Elephas maximus indicus: one gene and its partners. The protein of the gene in region 3 binds, or shares a complex with, the protein of the main gene of each other region. Links are inferred from orthologs where the notes say so. Each region holds a gene or a part of one and is shown on either strand. Other genes may lie near its edges.

Evidence for each region. The genes of interacting proteins can lie anywhere in the genome.
Region 1: the proteins of AXIN1 (region 3) and DVL2 are in contact, whole or in part, in a crystal structure (PDB 6JCK), measured with the Homo sapiens proteins. The link is inferred for Elephas maximus indicus from reciprocal best matches to the Homo sapiens genes AXIN1 and DVL2. Residues at the interface, in NP_003493.1 of Homo sapiens: Arg821, Tyr823, Lys825, Lys826, Glu830, Phe831, Val835, Val836, Phe837, Glu838, Glu839, Lys857, Glu859, Asp862; in NP_004413.1 of Homo sapiens: Lys15, Ile17, Tyr18, Glu23, Glu24, Thr25, Pro26, Tyr27, Leu28, Val29, Val46, Leu47, Gln48, Arg49, Pro50, Phe81, Arg84.
Region 2: the proteins of AXIN1 (region 3) and GSK3B are in contact, whole or in part, in a crystal structure (PDB 4B7T), measured with the Homo sapiens proteins. The link is inferred for Elephas maximus indicus from reciprocal best matches to the Homo sapiens genes AXIN1 and GSK3B. Residues at the interface, in NP_003493.1 of Homo sapiens: Glu384, Pro385, Gln386, Phe388, Ala389, Glu391, Leu392, Ile393, Arg395, Leu396, Glu397, Val399, Gln400; in NP_001139628.1 of Homo sapiens: Ile228, Phe229, Val263, Asp264, Leu266, Val267, Ile270, Lys271, Asn287, Tyr288, Phe291, Lys292, Phe293, Pro294, Gln295, Ile296.

What each region holds. Positions count from the first base shown.
Region 1 is NC_064837.1:13,618,435-13,626,324, reverse strand, and holds the start of DVL2 (segment polarity protein dishevelled homolog DVL-2), read right to left. Parts: upstream 3,014-7,890; 5' UTR 2,757-3,013; coding exon 2,563-2,756; intron 1-2,562. Other genes in the region: PHF23 (PHD finger protein 23), read right to left, coding at 4,086-4,300, 4,402-5,239, 5,824-5,916, 6,076-6,107, 7,645-7,678.
Region 2 is NC_064819.1:10,595,772-10,602,905, reverse strand, and holds the start of GSK3B (glycogen synthase kinase-3 beta), read left to right. Parts: upstream 1-4,121; 5' UTR 4,122-4,577; coding exon 4,578-4,665; intron 4,666-7,134. UniProt on the Homo sapiens protein: Constitutively active protein kinase that acts as a negative regulator in the hormonal control of glucose homeostasis, Wnt signaling and regulation of transcription factors and microtubules, by phosphorylating and inactivating glycogen synthase (GYS1 or GYS2), EIF2B, CTNNB1/beta-catenin, APC, AXIN1, DPYSL2/CRMP2, JUN, NFATC1/NFATC, MAPT/TAU and MACF1.
Region 3 is NC_064830.1:57,641,656-57,649,048, reverse strand, and holds the start of AXIN1 (axin-1), read left to right. Parts: upstream 1-4,386; 5' UTR 4,387-4,470; intron 4,471-4,562; exon of another isoform or gene 4,563-4,583; intron 4,584-7,393. UniProt on the Homo sapiens protein: Component of the beta-catenin destruction complex required for regulating CTNNB1 levels through phosphorylation and ubiquitination, and modulating Wnt-signaling.

The DNA of each region.
Region 1 (7,890 bases), on a different chromosome or scaffold from region 3:
CCCCAAACCAAACCCATTCCCACTGAGTCAATTCTGACCCAAAGAGACCCTGTGGGGCAGAGTGGAACTGCCCCACAAGGTTTCCAAGGCTGTAACCTTTACAGAAGCAGGCTGCCACATCTTTCTCCCGCAAAGCAGCTGGTGGATTTGAATGGCCAATCTTTCAGCAAGCAACCAAGTGCTTAACCACTGTGCCACCAAGGCTCCGTCATGGTTACCGCAGCAGCTGAAAATATCTTTCTAACCTAAGGAGCCTTGCTGGTAGATCCCCCAGCCTCCATCTCTGCTCTTCGTACACCTTCTTCCCAAAATGGCTTTGGTCCTCACCTACATCTCCTTCACTCATGCTTTCCTTCAGTTTTCTCTAGCTCACTTCCAGAGATCTAGCCAAACATGCTGTCTTTGCCTAGATGAAAATGCCCGTTAAACCAAAGACTAGTTACCTCCTCATTAGGCTGAAAGCCTCAAGGAGGAGGGAACCCATCTTCTGATTCTCCTGTGCTTCACCTAACACAAAACTCTGCCCTAAGCAATCTACTCAAGACGGAAAGGTCATCCTGACAAATCCCGAAGTCCAGCCTGGTGAGTTAGTTCTCCCTTGGGTTCCTTAAGGCGAATTAGGCTTAACCTTCTTCTCAACCCCCACATCAAATCATTAATGTCTATTCCGTTCAACACCATGTTCTGACCACACAGCACTGTACACAACATTTATTACGTACTAGCAGATATTTGGCTAAATGAATATATGAACCATGAGACTGTCTACTTTGGTTCCTCTTGGTTCCTCCTCTCTCAGGCACATGCCCTCGCACCAAAATTAGAGTATCCTGTCTTCACCTAATATGGTTTTGTGAGCCTGAATATATGCCAACTCAAGCCATTTGCTATCAGAATGTGACCTGGTCCATGTCAAAACAGCTCGGTCACTACCAATCTGTCTCAGAATAATGTCGCTTCCTTCCCAACTTAACCCAGTCTCAACATAACCGAGCCTACTCCAAAATGAGTTATTCCATAACCTAGTTTACGGACTAGTCAGCCTCAGTTCTAATAATAACTACCACTCGGTGAATATCCTGGGCTGTACACCTTTGCTAAACGTTTTACTCCATCTCACAGGTGAGGAAATCAAGGCACAAAAGTTCAATAAATTGCCCAAAATTACACTGCTGACAAACTGAAGAACCTTGATTGAAACTCAGGATAACTCCCAAGACAGGACCACTCTCCCAAAGCTAACCACTCACTCTAGGTAGCACCCAGGCTATCCCAGCCTAATCCAACCTGCCTTCGGAAAAGCTGAGGCTGAGAAAGTAGATGGCTCAGTCCCAAAAGCTCTACACACAAAAGGATTTACTTCGCATTATTTATAGTCCCAATCTAGCCCAGAATAATCCAAAATGTTCCAAATCACTCCAGGTTAGCTCTAGCACAGCCTAGAACATGCCCACACATAGCTGTCTGCAGCAATATAGACTAGAAATTCTCAATAAAGCTCCCTGTATTAGTACAGACCCCCAACAACCCTGTCTGCTCCAGTACTCTGACCCAGTAAAACCACGTCTGCCCCAATAGAAACTAGAACAACCAATACAACCACGTCTGCCCCACTAGAAATGGGAATGGTCTAAGTGTCTCCAGGAAACCCTGGTGGCGTAGTGGTTAAGTGCTACGGCTGTGAACCAAAAGGTTGGCAGTTCAAATCCACCAGGTGCTCCTTGGAAACTCTATGGGGCAGTTCTAATCTGTCCTTTAGGGTCGCCATGAGTCAGAATCGACTAGACGGCACTGGGTTTGGTTTTTGTTTTAAGTGTCTCCAGAATAGCCTACTCCACTTCAGGACAGCCTAAAAGATCCCAGTACAGTACTGTCTGTATCACTATACACAAAAACATCCAATATCTGGACAACATCATGCTTTACAACGCAGAGAGTCAGCGAAAAAGAAGATCCTCGATGAGACAGACAGACACAGTGGCTGCCAACACCTGGCTCAAACATACTACTGTGAGGATAGCACAGAGCCCACTAACAACTCGTTCTGTTATACACGATGTCATTATGAGTCAGAACCAACTTGACAGCACCTAATCACAACAGAATGTCCAAAACAACCCTGTGTGCCCTAATACACACCAGAATCCCCAAAATTGCCCCAAGGCCGGCCAATCTACATCAGGAGATAAAAGAATATCCCTAAATAGCCTGGGTGCTACAGAACTGCTCAGAATATACTGAACTACCAGAGGACAGACCCACTTGGCTCAGTACAGTCCAGAATACCCCCAAATAAACCAGTTCGCCCTAATATATTTCAGTACAGTCTAATCTTCTGTAATCTAGTTTAGGATAGCCCAGTCTGTCCTACAGCTCCGTGTGCCTCAACCTTGTCAAGCACAATCTCGTTGGTCCCGGGATAGTCAATCTACCCCCAGCTTAGTACAATCGACTCCACTATCGACCAGAAAAATCCCAATATGCCCCAGAATAGACCTGGGCCCTTCAATATCGCCTAATCCACTCCAGCACAGCCCCCATCAGTCTAGGCCTCGCGCTCACCCGAAATCCTGATCCATGGACTTGAAAAAGTACTTGGCTCCCGCGGGCCGCTGCAGGACGCTCTTGAAATCGCCGAGGGTGATGCGCTCAGCGGGGACGGGGATCTTCACTAGATAGGGAGTCTCTTCCTCATCCAAGTGGTAAATCACCTTCGTCTCCCCGACACCACCGCCCCCCGCGCCGCTGCCCGCCATGGTCTCGCCCGCGCGCTCCTGTGCTCCGCCGCCCACCCAAAGGGGCTAAGCACCCCCGCCGCGCCTGCGCACAGCCGCACACTGACGCGCGGGCAGGCACAGAACCGGACCAGTCCCCCAGACGTGCCCAAGGGATGGAGACGGTCGGGGTCAGACAAGCGGACAGCCGGGGCGGGGGCGGGCCGTGGGGGCGCGACCTAAAGACGCGGACTCCGCCGCCGCCGCGCGCCACTGCCGCCGACGTCGCGGGCGCCCCCCAGTGCCCCGCCCACCTCTGCTCACGTCACGTGGCCTAACTCGGCCCGCCACGCTCCCCCCGCACCGTCCCTGGATCACGTGACACTTCCCAGTCACGTGACTGCGTAGCTCCGCCTCGCGCCCCTGCCACGTGATCGCTGCCCTCAGCAACGGTCTCCCAACCCTCAACTGCCCCGCCCCCGAAAGTGTCCCCACCCTCGTCCTCTGAGCACCCTGGCTGAATTGGGCCTCTGCCCTCAGGCAGCAGGCTGCCAGTCCCACCACACCTGGGAGCGCGAGGCAACTCTGATCCACTGGAGTGTGCGTGTGGGGGTCCTAAGCAGGGAGTGGGATGGGGCAATGCCAACTGAGGCCTGAGCATCCTGGGTGGGAAAGGCCCAGGAGCAGGGGCGGTTCTAGCTGGGACTCTGAGGCGTTCTCCCATCTTTCCCAAAACCTCCCTCCGATGCAGGACAGTAAGGGCTATGAACACAAAAGAGCCCACTCCGCTTTATTTACAACACACGGGCCATCTGTACAAACAGCTAGCCGATATTATTAAAAACAAGAGATGAAAGAAATGTCACCTTTCTGCTTTCCTTCCCCTCTCGGCCAGACTTTGGTACTCCACCTTTGAGCTGCCATGCCCAAAAGGGGAAGTCCAAAATTAAAAATACAACCGGTGTATAAGAAAATAAATGAGGAGTGAGATAGGAGAAAAAACGATGAGGGAAGGGGGTGCTAATATTTACACTAGAGTTTTATAGACAGCTGCCCCATTCCTTCCCAATTCCAACCCTGACCCAAAAAGTGAAGGATGGCAGGTCCAATGGGCAGGGATTGTGTGTCTAGGGACCCAGACAACCTCTCGCCCTCAACTGCAGTGGGTCCACGTTCAAGTCCAGATGTTGGAGGGGGAGGAGGAAGGGGAGGATGGGAACATGAGACCCTCATTTCCAGAGCAAGTCTCCCTTGGGAGTTCCTGCCTTGAAGTGGGACAATGTCCAAGCTTCAGGGGATGGGCTGAGGACCCCAAGGCTCAGTTCCCAAGTCATGTTGTCAATTAGAAGTTCCAGCCTGGCACTGGTGATGTCAAGGCTCTCCAGATTTCGGAGGGCCCCCTAACCGCCGCGCCTCTGGCCGAAGTTCCTTGCATTTTTGGCAGTAAAAGAAGTCAGGGACATTGGTCTTCTTAATCTTAGCACAGGAGAGGTGGATCCACGTCCCACACAGGCTGCACTCAATCATGGGCCGTCCTGCAAAGGGCTTTCGGCAGTAACACGTGATCAGATCCCACGAGTCATCACCTGGGGAAAAGGAAGTTTGATATTCTGCTTGAGTTTTTAAGTCCACAACACCCCCAACTCCATTCTCCCAGCTACCCTTGAACAGCTCTCAACCCCCTTACCTGATTCTACCATGATGTCCTCATCCATGACCCGCATCTCGCCTTCACTAGAGCTGGCATCTCCATCTTGGCTTGTTTCAGTGCTGCCCACCTCCTTGCTTTCACTGTCAGTGGGAGGAGCTCCTTCAGGGGGCCCTGTAGCAGGGGGCCTAGGAGCCTCAGGGGGTGTTGGGAACACAGGGGCTGGGGCTTCAGCCCCTACCACTGCTGCCATTTCCTCTTCCTCTTCTTCTTCCTCTTCCTCCTCCTCCTCTTCAGAGTCTGTATCACTGGGGGGTGCCCGGGGAGGCCCAGGAGGTGGGAGTCTATCCCCTCGCTCTGCCTTTTTCAACTTCCGTTTCTTGCTCTTCTTGATTCGAGACCTCTTTTCCCCATCGCCAGGGGTTGGCCGAGGTCTCCGAAGAACCCCAAAGCCAGCCCCACCTCCTGGCCCCAACTTTCGGTTCTTTCGGTCCTTCTTTCGAGGAGGCTGGGTGAGATCCCCCTGAGAAAGGGGCACTGGGGTGAGAGGAACAGGGGGCCGGGATGCATGTGTCAGGGATGTGGGGGACAGGGGAGATGCCACTTTGGGGCCATCTAGATCAAAGAGAGAGTCCTTGAGCTTCATCTTCTCAAGCAGGGTGGCACTGTCAGGGGCCTGAAGGCGAGAGAAAGTGGACCTTGGAGGTCCTGGCTGGGTGGAACCCGACTGGGCTGCCCTTCTCTTTGATGACTTTGCTTTCTTAACAAAGGTCTGGATGGTTCGGAGATCTGAGGGGGCTGAGTCCCAGCCATCACTGTCTGCTGCACTCTCACCTCGCAATGGGGAGCTGGAGCCGGAGGCTGGCCAGTCACTTTCCTTAACAGGGAAAAGAGACCAGAGTCAGCAGGGGGCCCAGTGGCGTTTAAGCCCCTCCAGAAACCCAACCTGAAAACCAGGGACTAGATCTCCCCCAAAATATCCTGCCCCAACCAACAAAGCTCACTCAGAAAATTTATCCAGACCCCAATTTCTATCAGCATCTGTTCTTGAGCACTTCCATGTTACCTCTGTTTTCAAATTCTAACTATCTGCTCCTTACCAGGGCCTTTGAAATACTGTATTCCCACAAATCAGAGGCACATTTCTTAATCTACTTTTGTACTGCCTCCTTTGTTACCATTTTCACCTCCCTAAAACTCATCCGGAAACACCTTCCATTAACAGTACCCCCAAAACCATTTCAAAATCTTGACTAACAACCCAAGAGCCCCTTCCATCACTGTTACCCAAGCCACCTATCTCTATTATCCTCCCCCGCAAATACTCGTTTTCCCAACAGAACCCTCACGTTTCCAATTTCTCTAGTCTTACATATATAACTAACACAACCTCATTTACTCAACAGCCCTTCCAAGAATCCAAAGACACCATCCTCAAACCAGTTATTCTCCTGACCCTACCTCTTTGCTAGGAGGTATGTAACCAGCATAGGCCAAAACAAAACTGCAAAATTTGTTGAAATCTTCAATTGTTCTCCGCCGTTTCTCTGGTGGCTGAAAAGAAGAAAACAAGGATCACACTGAGGGCACAGACTGGAGTTTTAAGAGAAGCATCCCCAAAGGCGGAATCCCTAAAGTGGGAAAGCTAGAAGAGATGCATGGGGGGTGGGGGAGAGCATAAATACTGATGTGTAAAGGTAGGGGAAAACTCACCTGAGTCTCTGGCTTAAGGGTCGGAGGTGGATCTGTGAAAGCAATAAAAGCTGAGTCAAAGCCCTGGAACAGTCCATTTAAAATCCCCACCTCTAAACCTTAGAGGTCCCAAGTGAACCCCCTGTTCTCCCAGGTCCCCCAGCCAGTCGGCAGGCCCCCAGCTGTGCCCGATCGTCCCTGCTCCCCTCCCGTCCCACAAGGGGCGGAGCCTGGGCCCGGGGCCCTCCCAAGCCTCGTTATAGCGCTCCTCTTCCCCCTACCGGAGGCCGGGAGCCCCGCCTCCCCCCCCCAAACTCACGGTTTCTGTAGACTCCAGTCTACTCGGATCTCTTAACGCCCCACCCCACCGTACAGCTCCTAGGGCAGAACCCGGGCGCCGCCCGCCCCGTCCTTCACAAGGCGACCGTGCCGAGTTCCTACTCAGGCGCACTCTACTGCCCCGAGCCCTCTGGAACCTCACGCCATCCGCCGGCCCCCCGAGTCCGGGATGACCACGCTGAACCGCTCCCCGCCCTCCGGCCCCTTCTACTCGAGCACGAGGCCCGGCGCGCCCCTCACCCTCCACCCCAAACCCACACGCACGCACATTCAACGCTACTTTGTGTCCGGGACGGACCAGCGAGCTCTAACCCGGACGCGGCCCCACCTGCCCCCCCCATACCGCGCTCCCCACAATTTCGCCCTCCCTCCGCCCCCATCCGGGGCTTTGGCCCCTCCCCGTCTCGAGCTTCTTGGGTTCCCCGCCGGGCCCCCGGGCCCTGTTCCGAGCTCTCTCCGGCCGCCTTCCCTCCGCCCCCGTACTCACCAAGTCACTAGGCTACGGACCCCTAAACTCTAGCTTCCCCCCACAATCAGCGACTCTCTTCCTCCACAGAAACCACCACGACCGCCCCCCATCACCCTCCGCAACTCCCAGGCTCTAACCCTCGCCAGTTCCCCCTCCCGCGACTCGCCGGTCTTCACCCCCCTCCGATCCCACCGCCCTCTGCAACTACCTAGCTCTCCTCGCTTCCCGGCCCTCTCTCCACAACTACCCCCGTTACAGGTCCCCTTTCCGCAGACAATACCAGGCCCCCCTTTCCCCCCACAACTACCTGCCCAACCCTCCAGCAATCACCCGGCTGTCTCTGGCGGCAACTACCGGGAGCTCGGGAACCACCACCACCAACTCCCCCACCTCGGCGAACTACCGCGCCCCTCGCTCAGCCCTCTTCCACGTCCTCCCTGCCCAACAACTCTCGGCTCCCAGATTCCCCCAACCTTCCAGCTCCAAGGCCCCAACCTGCCTGCGGCCCTTTCGGCTCCTAACCCCCGAGGCTCCGGGTTTTCAGTTCCCACCCCCCACCTCCCCCCCACACACAGCGTCGGATCTCCAACTATCCCCAATCCGGTCTCCCACTCCTCTTCCTCCAGCATCTCTCAACTCGTCGCTCTTCACCCCCAGGGCCAGGACCCCGACCCCCACCCCGCGCTCCCCCGCTGGGTTCTGGGGCTCGACCTCCAAGTTTGCCAATTGATTCCTGGCCCGCCCCCCACCAGCTCAGCGATCTGTGCCGGTCGAGAGCTCACCTTCGGGACTGGGCTCCGCCATGGCTTCCAGCATCGCCCCCTCCCCTCCTCCCGGTCCGGCGCCCCCCTCCCCTGAGCCGGGGATCCCGGTGCCGCCTCCGGTGCTCGGTGCTCCTAATGACTTGCTCCACGGAGGTGTCTGCCTCAGTCCGGTTGTGACTCGTGTCCGCTAGCCGTTGCCGCTGCCGCCGCCTCCCTCAACCACAGCCTCCCGCACTCCCGGACCGGGCCCCCTCCCCCCGCGCC
Region 2 (7,134 bases), on a different chromosome or scaffold from region 3:
GAGGTTTTCAGTTTCTCCTGGTTTCAATTTAAAATGCAGCTGATTTTGAGCAAGTCACTCAATCTGTATAGTGCTTAATTTCCTCATTTGTAAAAACAGAATAGCTTCCCTTCATACTCTACTGGCTTGCTGTGAGGACCAAACGATACAATGCCTGTTAAAGTGTTTCCTAAGCTGCAAAGTGCCATCTAAATGTTTTTATTACTACAGAATACATGGAGGCAGTTCATTGTACAGTTTAACTTATAAATATCATTTTGTGGACACTCTCAGTAACCACACAGAATTCGGCTTAGAATTACTTACTGATCTCTACGTGAGACCATCTCATGAGCCCAGGAGCAAACCAAACTGACACTATACTGAGGGCTGTGTTCACATCAGATGCCACAGTAAGAAGGCATAAGGTGATAAAGCAAGACATATGGAGGAATGTGGGGACTCTGTGAGAGAGAAAAGTACGGAGCAGGGCCTAAGAACAGGGGATATGAATCCTAGCTCTGCTACTTCAGCTTTGTGGACCTGAAGCAAGTTAGTAAAGCTTTCTGAAAAGCAGGGTAGGATTGTTATGAAGTTTAAATGAGACAGTATGTGTGAAGCACTTAAGAACAATGCCTAGCACGTTGTAAACGCTCAATAAATATTAACTGTTTACTATTACTATTATAAACTGGTTAGTAGTTGACAGTAGGTGGGAAGGTAACATTGGATTTGAACAGTTCAGGGAAGCAATCACTAAATGTTTGCGTAGTTCTGTATTTCCTCATAAACTTCTCTCTCCAGCTCTAATTCTTAGACTGACATACATACTTTTTTTCCTATAAAATTTCCCTCTCGTTCAGATTTTTGTTTTAACAGCATCAGTTCAAAATATTTGAAGGCAGCAACAGTAAAGCTAAATATAACCTCAAGTTAGGTCATTTTTGTATTACAAAATAATACCCGTGTTTCCAATTTGTGTAACCTAAACATTTCCTATTCACTTTCTTGCTGGTATAAGAGGAAGGCAGGATTTAAAGTGTTGCCTCACAGCATTTTCAGGAGCAGTGACAAAGGCTTTTCCTAATAGCATGGAGAGCCACCAATCAGCTGACAAGCTTGCCATGCACTGAGTTGGCTTTTAATGTTCTTTACCCTCCCCCATGACATCCACTGATCTCATGTTCTCTCTTAATTGCAAAGAACTAGGGCCTCTACTGCTCTGGGGCTACAAAATCTATGCTCTGGTTAAATACTGCAAATTGATTGCCTGTTTGCCACGTCTACCCCAGGATGTTTTTAGTTTGCCCTGCAATGTTTTAAGTATTGGTTGTCAACATTTAAAAATCCAGAGGTTTTACACAAAAATCCAGCTCTTAGTTTAATCTTGGGAAAACAAAAACAACACTGACTATCTCAAAAACACTGAACCAGGTCTTTGAACCTTTTCTGGTTGAAACCTCTGCTGATAATTTGCATTTCTAACAAGTTCCCAGGCGATGCTGATGCTGCTGGTTAGGGACCAATTCTGAGAACCACTTAGCAGAGCAGTGGTTCTTAAAATTTATTATACATTAAGAATCACCAGGGGGTTTTATTAAAATGTAGATTCTAATTCAGTTTATCTGGGATAGAAATGCAAATTCTCAGCAGGGGTTCGAACCTGAACTAACTGGTTGGAAGCCCTGCACTGAACCCACATTCCTGAGGGCAACAATCTGCTAGGGCTGAGGAGCAGCTGCTCATTTTAGTTCCGGCAGGGATACTCCAAGTTGCCATATTCTCTATCATTCGCCATTGTCTTACACCAGGCCAGTTTCACTCATTTGCTTTACTTGTCTAGACTTTTCCTGTCTCCCATCAAAGCTTACTTTGTTCTATCCCAAGTCCTTCATCAGACTTTCCAAGCCAACTGCTAGGCAGTCTGATCAAATGAGTACTTTTACATGTGCTTTCTGGAGACAGCATCTTGAAAGTAGTGAGCCTGTAGGTGGAAATTACAGGTCCCAGGGAATCATAATCAGCATGGCAACTGTCTACTCTACTTTCCCTGCTATCCTGATGTAGCCACACCTCACTGTCCTCTGACAAAAACAAAAAAAACAAAAAAAAAACCTGGCTCTCCAGTAGAGCAATGAAGGCTGGACAATGTGTGAAATCTACTCAAATAGTGCTTTTATAGACGACCCTGGTTCCGGAGGACCCAAAGGCACTCAGGGCTATGCTGACTCCGCTTCCTTAGAGATCTCAGGATATCCGGCCTGACGGCATCTCCCCTCACCTGCTTTTGGCCCCTTCTGCACCGGGCAGTGGCGCCCAAGGAGTGCGCGCATCCAGAATGAGCTCATTTCTTAGGGGCGTTTCCAGAAGGCCCAGCTGGGCCGTGCGCATGAGGCGTAGTCAGCCTCGCGCTGTCAATGGTCCCCGCGGCCGGGCGGGGCGCGGCTGCCCGGGGGCGCTGCTTTTCTGGAAGCTTTGTCCCCACTTTCGTGTCTGAGAAATCGCAGCCGGCCGGAGGGGTCCCTTGGGGCCTCCTGGGGAAGACGCAGGTCCTCGGGACGCGCGATCTCAGGCTGAAGGATGGCTCGGGCGCAGAGACTTAGCCGCACCCCGCCGAGAGCCTCCAGGGAGTGCGGAGAGCCCCCGACCCTTCGCTGGCTTAAGCACTAGCAGAGCCCAGCTCCGCCGACCACGGGTTTGGGACAGGCTGCGCGAAGCGGGTGCGCGGAAAGCCCGCGCTCCCTGTCTGCGGCTTTCCTACGGGTTGGGAGCAGCCGCCAGCGAGTAGGCGACACCGCCCGCCACGACCCCAGACGAGCTCCTAGCGCCTGGGGCCGCCGCCGTAGGTTGTAGGCCAATCACACTGCAGCTAGGTCTTGCGATAGGAGAGCCGTCAGTGCCGATTGGCTATCGCAACGAGTTTCGGCCTCCCTCCCATTCCCTCCGCTCTAAAGCTTCAAGCCAATAAGAAGGCGCTTTATAAACGTCCTCCCTTAGCTTTCTTCTTCTCCCCCCCTCGGCTAGGGAAGAGCAGTTCTGATTGGTTAGACTCTCCTCGGATGCCCCCTTTCCTCCTCCAATCACCGAGTGAGGGACACGCCCAGCAGAGTTTTTCAGCCAATTACAAAGCGGCCGCGGCTCTCAGCAGTACAGTTTCACCTGGAACTCTGGGTTTCACCGACCTTAACTCTTCATGCTTTTTCCAGAGAGACGGCGGCTCTGATTGGCTACTGTTGCCGCCGTCGAATTTCTCCTTCAGCCAGCCACAAAACAAGGCGAATCCCCCTTGCTCCCGTTCGGTTATCCTCGGCATTTTCCGCTCCTCGGGCGTGGATTTCCGGCGGCACTCTCCAATTGGCTCTTCAGGTCGATCGGCTTTTTCCGGGAGGAGCCGCAAACAAACGACGCCCGTGATTGGCCCCGCTCGGGCTTCGGCTCCCCAGCCGAAGGGGGCGGGCGCGGGGCTCGGCCGGCGATTCCCAGACGCCTGTTACGCGGGCGGCGGGGCGCTGGGCGGTGTAAGGCTGGGTGGGGGAGGAAGGAGGCGGAGGACGAGCAGCAGGGGGGAGGGGGTGCGGCGAGGAGCTAGGCGACTGCGCAGACGGCTCGCCTCACACAGAGCAGCCCCCGAGCCGGGCGAATGCGGGCTTGTGCCGCCGCCGCAGCCCGGGCCGAGTGACAAAGGAAGGAAGGAAGGAAGGAAGCGAGGAGGAGCCGGCCCGCAGCCGCTGACAGTGCTCCGGGCTGGGGCCGCAGCGCGGACGCTTCCTGAGCGGACGCCGAGCCGAGGCGAGGGCCGGGAGGGCGGCCGCGCTGGGGCCGCGGACGGGGAGGGGGCCCCGAGGGACGGAAGCGGCGGCCGCGTTCCCATGTCCCCCGCGTATGGGGAGCAGCCGAGGAGCCGCTGCCTGGGGTCTGAAGGGAGCTGCCTCCGCCGCCGCCGCCGCCATGGCCGCTGGATCCAGCCGCCGCCTGCAGCTGCTCCTGGCGCAATGAGGAGGGGAGCCGCCAGCGCCGCCGCCGCCGCCCGCGTCTGAGCACCTCGCCCTCGGCCGCCGCCGCCGCCGCCGCCGCCGCCGCCGGGCCCGTCTCCAGGCCGCCGGGGCCGCAGCGCTTCCCGTGGCCTCGCCGAGCCACCCCCTCCCCCTGCTCCCCTCCCCCCGCGGCCGGCGGGAGACTCGTGATCCTTCCGCCGCTTCCCTTCTTCATTGACTCGGAAAAAAAATCCCCGAGGAAAAGACAATCTTCACAGGACTTATTTTCAATCAAGTATTTGCCCTGCTGCACGTGATAGGTATTTTTTAGGAGCTTTCTTTTTTCCTCCCCGCCTCCTCCCTGAAAGGGAGGGAGAAGAATTGTATTTTTTTCACCCAAATCATCTATATGTTAAATATCTATACCGATCTGTCTTGAAGGAGAAATCCATCTTTTTTTTTTTTTTGATAATATAAAAGGAGTGCAAAGCCAAGAGGACGAAGTCTTTTTCTTTTTCCCGGGGAGAACTTAATGCTGCATTTATCATTAACCTAACACCCCAACATAAAACAATAGGAAGACAAGAGGAAGGAAGGAAAAGGTGATTCGGGAAGAGAGTGATCATGTCAGGGCGGCCCAGAACCACCTCCTTTGCGGAGAGCTGCAAGCCAGTGCAGCAGCCTTCGGCTTTTGGCAGCATGAAAGTTAGCAGTGAGTATTGATTTTAATTTACAACCCTTTCTCCACGTCGCCCTTAAAATAAGAAACCTTGAAATAGGATTTTAAGGGACTAGACTTGGTAAGAGGCAACCTGGTAATGGAAAAGGATAGAACCTGTCTTCAGTCTAGGATGAGGCAGCTCCCTCTTTTCTCCTCCCAAACCCCTCCCCCGGTCTTATTAACCTTGAATGACAGAATGGGATTTTTTACTTGGATCATTCGATTTGAAACACTGCTTATACTTTTCTTGGCTGTTGTTAGTCCGCTTCACCAAGTGCTTGAGTGTTTGCTCGTTAAAACAGTGATGGAAAGTGTTTACTTGTTCATCCTTTTGAATAAAGAGAAGGACAGGACTTGATTCGTAAACCATTATGCACATTTGCAGAGTGGATGTCTTTTGGCGCATTTTAGTTAGCGCAGCTCTCAGGGGTCATCATAGTTTTGCATACTTAATGGAGACACTAAAAGTCCCAATCTCCTAACCTTTTTTTTCTTGCCTGTGCGACTATACAGAGTATTTGTTCTCCGCCCTGCGGGCTGAACTTACTCAGTGACCAGCGGTCACGTTTGGAGGCAGCCTTGGTTCCTCCTCTGGAAGGGGCCCGGGGAGCCCACAGATGGGAGCACCCCTGCTCGCATTGTCTTCAGTTGTTTAAGTGGTTGAATGTGCTATCGTTAATTTTTCCGTTTTGACACATTCGCAGTTCGCCACTGTATAATTTATGTTTCATCAGAAGGCAACTTGGAAGTAGGTCCCAGTTTCGACTGAGGTTTGTAGTAAACCGAATTGCCAAATAACTGTCACTGACGCATTGCTATCTAAGTTCGCGTTCCCAAAATTGAATTGCATTTGTTACTTGTTCCAGGGGGTCCCTTTTTAGGGCTATTTAAGATACTCTTTCAGTGGTTTCCTCACATTTAGATAATACGGACTTAGTTATAAGACTATCGATTTAGCCCTTCCGTCATAACTTTTGCAGAATGCTGTGGTCCTGGATGTAAGAGGACTATTTGGGCTGTGTTCAGAGTTGTCGCCAGGCTGTATGTACTCTCGTGCCTGGTTTGTGCAGAAAAGTTGAGGTTCTTGAAGTCGTTGCTTTAAGGAATATAACATTGTTCCAATGTATCAGAGTTTGTGGAGATGTTTATTGTATCTTTGATAATGGTGTCTAATGACAACTTATTTAAATACACTTACAGAATTTGATAAGCATGTGTAGGTGGTTTTCTTTATTCCTGAACAAAAGGGATACGCTGAGGGCAAAGGCAAACCATCTTGTTGCTTAGAGGAACTGAGAGAACTGAAGAAGTGAGATATTAAAAGTACATGCTGGCTTGTGAAATTGACTATATCCTTAAGCAACATAAAATGATCGCTTTTAATTGAATTCAAAATTTCAAATCATGTTGGCTTTTGGAACTTGCCTGAAACAGGGTAGGCCAAGGTAATAGCTGAATGGGAGATTTTTTTTGAAAGTTAATTTTTTTCCCCCCTAGTGACTAGCTAATAGAGAATGCAGTGACTAGTAGAGAAGAGGGAAGCTGATGCATCTTTCAGGGAAGGGTCAAGCTTTCTAGGCATTTCATGGGGTCATTTGAAAGGAATATTTAAAAATTCTGGCGTAATTTTCAGCTATGATGAAGCAAATCTTATAATAGCTGCCTAAGAGCCTCTTGTGGTACTGGAGTGTTTGTACGTTTTACATCTTGGTAACATAGTTTAAAAACCACTTGAGATCAATTTTAGGTAATTAACTCATTAGATTTATTTCAGAGAGCAAAATAAAATATCCTATAATGCTAAGCTTTTGGGCTTTTCGTTTCGTTTCCAGGATTTTCTTTGCTTTCCTAATTCTTGGTATTGTGATGTTGACTGAGGATGGAGTAGCTTTTATAAAGTATGTAAAGTGTGTGATTTTCTGTTATTGTATAGGTCAACTAAACATTTAAAAATTAGGAGTTTAATGCTAATTATGTGTTTTTGATAACTTTGACTCTAAGGACATTTTAGAAGAAAGAGGAGTTAAGCATTTTCTGAGTGCTAGCGTTCTAAGGAACTTCTGTTCAAAAGAGAGATACGTAAGACATTGTGGTCCTTAGACTCAAGAGCTTCTGAGAAAGAAGATGAAAACAATAGCGTGATGACTGCAAGATGATAAAAGATAAGTCCCATCCTTTGTTCTGAGGGACAAAGAGTTGAGGGGTGAGGCTGATGGGTTGGAGAGGGAAGACATCCTGTGGAAGGTGCTTTTGAAGACTGGTGTTAAAGGAGGCAGTAACTTGAATTGATAGCGAAGCCTGAGGGATTCTAGGTGGAAGGAATGGACCGAGGCTCAGGCGGTGATTTTTGTATGGGAGACAGCAAGGAAGTTGGCAAATCTGAATTAAAGAGGACTAAGTATGTTTTTTTAAGTAAGAAAATAGGAAGCGCTGGAAGTTGAGAAATATAGGAAGGCTAGC
Region 3 (7,393 bases):
ATTTGCTGAGCCCCCACCTTGGCTATCCTCCACCTGGCCTCCAGCTGGCACTGCTTTTCTCTTGGTTTTGTGCCTGACCCTGGATTCCTGGAGTCCAGCAGAAATGTGGTTTGTGTTGGGTGTGCTGGCTGGGCTGTCCATGCAGGGGAAATGGGTTGGAGTGACTGAGAGGCTTGGCTTCCCCCAGAAATGAGTGCTGCCTGGCAGGCAGACCTGGCCAGGTGTGACCCATGAGGGTGCAGGTGTGGGACCTTTGGGCTCCTGTCCTGGACTCAATCACAGTGACCACAGTGGCATCGTTGCTGGCAATGGCCATGTGTGTTGCTCCCAGCCCTTCCTTAGTGGCCTCCTTGTAAAAGGGGGTAAGGTGAGGTGAGATACTCTCTGAATGCGGCTGGTGCCAGGTCATGGGAACAGAAACCACCTCAGCTGCAGGGTAACGTCAGGCGGCGGGTCACACACAAAACTGTCACCGGCCAGCAGGGGCTGGAGTGGGGATTTGTGAGATTTTGGGGACTAGGATCCCCGGGGAGTTGTCTGCCTGAAGTGCTATAGGCTCTGGGGTTGGCAGGAGAATGGGATCAGCCTTGACAGTGATCCAAACACCAGCCAGGAGGACTGACCTGCCCATCAGGCATGAAGGGCAAGACAAGCTGAGCACAGGAGAAAAAGGAGCAGGAGCAGGTATTGGTGCAGTTCAGGGCCAACGTGGGCTTGGCAACCACAGCAGATGCATCTCTCAGGAAGGTCACCTGCCACTCCTGCAGGCACTTTCTCCCTGGTCACAGGCCCGGAGCCCACAGCCCAGCCCAACGCCCCACTCGTCCTGCCCTGCAGGGTCCCACCTTTGCCGCACCTCCCTGTATGGTTAATTGACACCATCAACCATTGACAGAAAGATGTCACTCCTTGCGTTTCCATCTGATCAATGCTCCGGGGTGGCCTTTTTTTTTTTTTTTTCATCTTTTGGCCTTTATATATACATTTTCTATTTTCACAGAAACAGGGAGACTGTGTGTGTGGTTTAAAAAAAAATCATTTATTGAGATAAAATATGTATATTATAAAATTTACCATTTTAACCATATTTAAAGTGTACAATTCAGTGGCATTAGTTACATTCACAGTGTTGTGCAACCATCGCCTCTATTTGCAGACATTCTCATTACCCCAAAAGGAAGCCCTGTACTCATTAGCAGGCACTCCCCATTCCCCCTCCCCCTAGCCCCTGGCAACCACTAACCTGCTTTCTGTTTCTATGGGTTTGCCTATTTTGGATGTTTCATATAAATGGAGTCATGTAATACGTGGCCTTTGTGATTGGCTTTTGTTTAACCTCATGTTTTCCAGGTTCATCCACATCGTAGCATGTGTCAGGGTCCATTTCTTTTTATAGCTGCATAATATTCCATACTTTGTCTATGCATTCATCTGTTGGTGGACAGTTGGGCTGTTTGTGCGCAGTTTTGTAGGTTTTCTCCTTGATGTTATATATCATGAGCACTTATCTGCAGTGGGTAGGGGCATAACAGATGACACTCCTCCCTCCCCCTCTGCTGAGCTTAGAATTGATGGAAAAAAAGAGGCTCAGGGACAGAGAGATGGAGTCCAGAGGCTTGTGGCCAGGGCTGTGCCGCCAATGGGAAGCCAATTCCCCACTCTGTTAACTGGATGGCCCAGGCTTCTGTCTTCCTTCAGGGCACCCCCTGTGGCACACACACACCTGTGACTCCAGCATATGCGGGGGTGGAGAGACCAGAGGGGCCTATGGAGAACCCACTCCCCTCCGTGGAAACCAAGGGGCACGGGCAGTACGGTTCCCTTAGACCGGCCATTGACTGTGGCCATCCGTCTATGCAGCTGCCCTTCTCCTGGATGCTGGGCCGCACCCAGTTCCAAGGATTGTCCATCTTGCATGACGGACTCCACACCAATCTTGGTTGCCCCAATGCCTCCCCCAGGTCACTTTTCTAAGTGTTCATCCACAGTTGATGGGGCGGACACCCTCAGGGCTTCGAGGTGTCCTTTATTTCAGAGTACCCCTTTTCCACCCAAGTTAGAAAACAGGTCATTTCTGCTCCTACATTTTTCATTTAGTCCTTGGTGAGCCTGAACAAGGCCATCTGTAGTTGATCAAATCTCCGTTAAAGCCTCTGGTGTCAAACTGCTCTCAGTGAAGGGGTGTTTATCTTTGAAAGGACCTTTGTTCTGAATGGAGAGCACTCTGTCCCCACACCTCTGGCCTGTTCTCAGCTCAGGGTGGCTGGCCCAGGGCCCCTGCCCAGGTCACCCTGCTTAGTCGAGAACACCTTCCTCTGCCTCTCTCTCCACAGCCTTCCTCACCATCTCTCTGGTCTGGCCCCTGGTGGGGGCATCTTCTGAGCTCACCCCCTCTGGCCAATGCTAGGTAGTCTGCTCTCCCCACCCTCATGACCATCATCCTCTTAGCAGGGGCCGCTGCCTCCCCCAAGGCTTTCTGACCCCCTTCTTGTCCCTGCAGGCTGGAGGCCCCCAGGAGTGGGAGGCCCAAGGGCCCTGTTCTGGTCCCAGGGCCTGGGGAAACCCTCTGCCTTGGGCCAGGAGGAAGATGGGCATGGACACAGCCCCCAGAGCCTGGCCTGGCCATTGTGGCAGCTCTGCAGATCGAAGGCAAGCTCTGGGGCCCTTGTCTGGGAGTGGACAGGGCCAGTGTCTGGGATGGCCTGCTGTCTGTCCAGCCCACCCAGGGCTGCCTCCCACCATGAGACTCTGCTACAGCATGAAAGCAGCCACTCTGTCTCCTCCAAGGTTCTGAGGCTGCACCAGGCAGGGGATGGTGCACAAGGGTCTCCTGTGCCCAGCACTCTGAGCCTGTGTCTGTCCAGTGTTGGCTCAGCAGTACAGCCCCTGCCCTTACTGCCCTGAGGCATGACGATGGCCCCAGAAGGTGGCCTGGGCCCTTGATGGGCTGGGAACCCTTCCTTAGTGCCCCTCCTTCCATACCACTCACCCCAGGCAAGCATCACAGGGGGCAACTGGGCAGGAGGTTGACTAGGGGCTCCAGGGGCTCCATGCCAGGACTTCTGCCCTTGCCGGAAGCCGTGAAGAATAAGGGGGGTGGACAGCTGAGGTTGAGCAGTGTCCAGAAGACGAGGTGACTGAACAGGCGGTCTGGGCCGCCTGGGTGAGCGGCATGGGTGAAAGCATGGGGGTGGGCAAATAACCAGACACATTGAGGAGTGGGTGGTGTGGGGGAGATGCCACTGGGTGAGCCCTAGGGGGCTTTAGAGCAGGGGCAGCCCAGATGACAGCTGTTGGGGAAGTTTGGGTGTTGAGGAGTCCTGGTCCAGGTGGTGACAGGTCCCTAAATGGCCCAGGCTGTAAAATGGGGGTACAGCTTCCCCTGGGGGTTGCTGGGAGCATCCAGAGAGGTGCTAGGCCTGATACCGGCTCTGAGAAGGGGTGGGGCACGGCCGTGATTCCTGGGGATCAGAGACTCCTGGTGGCCACATCCTTCTCTTGGAGAGGTGCTGACAGTGGACTGCGGCCTGGGCAAGGGGCTGGACGTCACTAGGAAGTTCAGCCCCCAGCCACCGGGCCTGCCGGCTAACTTGGGACCCCTACTTCCCCAGTGGGTGGGTAGGCTGAGGGGGGGTCTCCAGGGCCAGCAGGGCCTGAGGCTGCCAGTCCCACTGGTCACCCCGCCCACCCGGGCACGAGGTGGTGAAGCGCGAAGGGCGGTGGAAAGAGCGGCTGGGCATGGGCCGGGCCTGTGGGCGCCGACCTGAGGAATCCTAGGCACGTCGATCACCGGGGCTGCCTTCAGTCGTGTTGGCCGCAGAAAATCGTGGGCGATGCGGGGTACGCCCACATTCCCCTAGATCCAGAGCTCCCTCTCCAGGACCTGCCCCTCGCCGAGACTCCACCCCCCGCCCAAGGAGCAGTCCTGCGCTGTGGCTTTACCTTGCGCTCTCGGCCCCGCCTCCCCGTTTGAGGCCACACCCCCACGTTGTGGCACTACCCCCACGCTCTCGGGCCTATCCCCGCCCTCTGGCTCCGTCGCGCTCTCTTGGCCCCGCCCCCTCACTTCCGGGAGGCGCAGGCGGGGGTTCTCGGTCTTGGGCTTCGGCGCTTTGGGCTCGGGCTCCCAGCTCGGGGACGCGATCGCGGCTGCCACCACATCAGGAGCCGCCGGGGTCGGGCCAGAGTCGGGCCGCAGCCGCGTCCGCCGGGAGCGGACCGGTGAGAGCGGCGGCCGGACCTCGGCGGCACCCTAGCGCCGCGCCCTCCCCGTGCTGGCCGCGTCCGGGCCCCGCGTCCCGCGCTCCGCGCGGCCGCCGCCGCCGCCGCCGCCGCGGCCGCCGCCGCCGCCGCGATGGGGGCCGTTCCGGGCCGCGCCCCCGCCGGGTCCCGCCTGCCGCGCCGCAGCTGAGCGCATGGGCCGCGCCGCTCCGCGCCGGGAGCCGGGCCGGGGCCCCGCCGCCGCGGGCGGTGAGTAGGGCGGGCGGGCCGGGCCCATTGTAGGCCGCACTAGGCCGGCGGGCGTGCGAGGTGCGGGCCGCGGCGCGGGACCCGGAAGAGGGCTCCGAGGCGTGCAGGCCGGGGTGCGGAGGGGACGTGCAGGGGTGCGAGGGCTGAGCCGGGGACGTTTGGGCTCCGAGGGGATGCACGGGGTTCGAGGGCGTGCGGAGAAGCCTTGGGGGTTGAGAGGTATCCTGGGAAGATGTTGGGGTCCAGCCTGCCAGGCAGGGGATGGGAAGGCAAGGCCCTTGCCACAGAGACGTGTTAAGGGGGATGAGTGGGCTTGGTTCAGAAAGAGCAGGCCCTTGGTCTAGGTGTGTGGAAGAGAGTGAGGAAGACCCAGGATTCTGAGAGAGGGAGTGCTCTCAGGAGAAGGGTCGAGGTCTCAGCAGCTGGGTGTGTTTGCATGATGCAGGGTGGGTGCTGTTGTCCGTTGGCCTGGGGCAGGTTTCAGGGTGCAGGTGGGGTCAGAGTGGCTGCTGGGGCCAGAGGTCAGTGCAGGAGTTCTGGAGAGCGCAGCTGTGGAGTGCTGTTCTCCTTATCCCCCAGCAAAAGTAGGAGTAAGGGCGTCCAAAGCCTTGGCAGGCCCTCCCTTTCTGTGGCAGAGGTGCTGGGGCTCAGCTTGTCTGAGTACCCGCTTTTCCTGGCCTCCACACCCCCTGTTATCTTGCCTAAAACCGGGTCTCTCTTGTGGGTCTTCGTTTCTATCCCCACCCCACAATTTGGAATTCGACCCCCCCCCCCACGCACCCATGAAACCAGGGCTGCACAGCTGTGGCAGCAGAACTTTTTAACTCCTCAGGAGGTCAGTAGGGATGATAACATCAGTCCTCTGGGATTTTCCTGAGCCCATCCCTAAGTTAATTTATAAAGGGTCCTCATTGTGCACAGCGGCCCCTCCCTCTTGGCTCATCTGTATTCTTTGCATCTTTAGGCAGATCTCATGTTTACTTGGATCCACAGGCCGTGGTCTGGAGAAGCACATACGTCTACACCTGACCAACCAGAGATAGTCAGCAGTAGCTCAATTTCAATTTAAAGAAATTCTGTTCGGTACAAGGGTGGGAAAGCATGTAAATCATGGTGCTTCTGCTTGATTTTCAGCTGGTTCTGACCTTTCAGAAAGGCTGATCGTTAGAAATTCAGGTGTTGGGGGATGGATTGTATGTAAAGCAGTAGCCCTGACCATTCAAGAGTTTAATTAATGGACTATTGGGAAAATGTCAGAGTTATACTGTTACATCTGCTCTCCATCTAAATAAAAAGTTCGGAAGATAACGTTTGAGTAAAATCTATCATCTCATCTCTCTACCTACCTACCTACCTAGGCACAGGTGTAGTGGTTCGGTTACTTGAGGTGGAGGGTGCTGCCATGGTCCAGGGGTGTGCCCAAGCCAGGACCAGAAGAAATGTAAACAGTGTCAGGCTTATAGATCGCTTTTTACGGATTCACTTTATTGATGGTGGTTCCAGGCTGTGGGCCAGAGTTAGTGTTTGTGGCTACTTGGCGCAGACCTGAATTAATACAGCTGTTCTGTGTGTGGTGTGTATGTGTGCACACTGAATAGTACACCTGTGTCTTAGTTGGAGCCCAGGACTGAGACCACGAGAGCAGGTTTATGCTGTCAGTAGTTTGTCAGGGTGTCTCCGTGCTTCAGGGACACCAAAGATCTCCGTCAGTGGACGGCCAAAAATAGATGAGAATGTTGGGAAAAGTTTCTTTTAGCCTGTGAAACTAGTTTAGCATGATTAAGGTGGATTTGGTTCTCAGATGAATTGAAATGTCATTCTTGAAAGACACCTGCAACTTTGTGATGAAAGGTTAGATCTAACAGCCCCTTAAGAGCAGGGACAGTAACAGATGCGTAATTAAGTTCCCACTTAGAGTATTGTTTGGTAAGTGATTTTTTCATGTGTCTAGTGACCTGGTTCCTCCTCATGGTGTGTGCACTGCAAGGGTCCCAGGGGCGTGTCATGTTGGCATGTGCAGAGATACAGACACAGGAGGGATTGCTTGTGGCTGACAGGGCTGAGGGACAGCGACTTTTGTGGCAAAGTGGCCATGAGCGGCGGGACACCACAGCCAAGGGGCCTTGACCTTAACCAGCAGGCATTCCTGCTGAGGCCACTGTTGCAGCCTGCCCAGCAGTTTTCATGAAAAGTCACTCGCTGCAGAAATGTTTTCCAGTGTGTCTCGGGTCTGGCCCCAGGTGGAAGCAGGGCCCGGCAGCATGGGCCTTAGGCTTCAGAAGGCTGCCCTCTAGACTAGTCCTCGGGTTTCACTTTGCACACCCTGGCCTCTTTAGCACTCCGGAAAACCTGTGATCTCCAGCATTTGTATAGCTGGGACCTCTTAACCTGGTGGCTGATGCAGGGAGAGAGAGGGTGAGGTTAGCAGGAATGGTTGTGGGCTCCTTGAGGGTGTGGTGGGGGGCCCTGAGGACCAGGCAGAGAGTCAGTCTGTCTGAGCCTTGTGTCCAGGACGATCTGATCCTCATATCCATGCTGGCTTGGGCGACACCAGCAGCAAAACCCTTGAATCTATGACCTCTATGAGGGGAGGGGTGTTTCCTTCAGTTTACGGAATTCAGTCACATGAGCTCTGTGCTTCCTTGGCTAAAACGTGTGACTGGATTTGGATTTGATTTTTTCTTGTGCCTTCTTGGTTTCTTAAAGTACCTGACGGCCACCTGCTGTCAGATGCTTTCTCACACTGACGGTCAGGATGCCCTGTGCTTTTGCAGGTATCCTCCAGTCACTCAGCCCGTGACGTTGGAGGTGACCCCCAAGTCACGGCTTTTTTGTGTGAGTTGAGAGAGGAACACCTTACTGTGGGTTACACACTGCACGTTGTGCTGAGTGTGAAGGGGTGGTGGACAGAAAACATACCCGC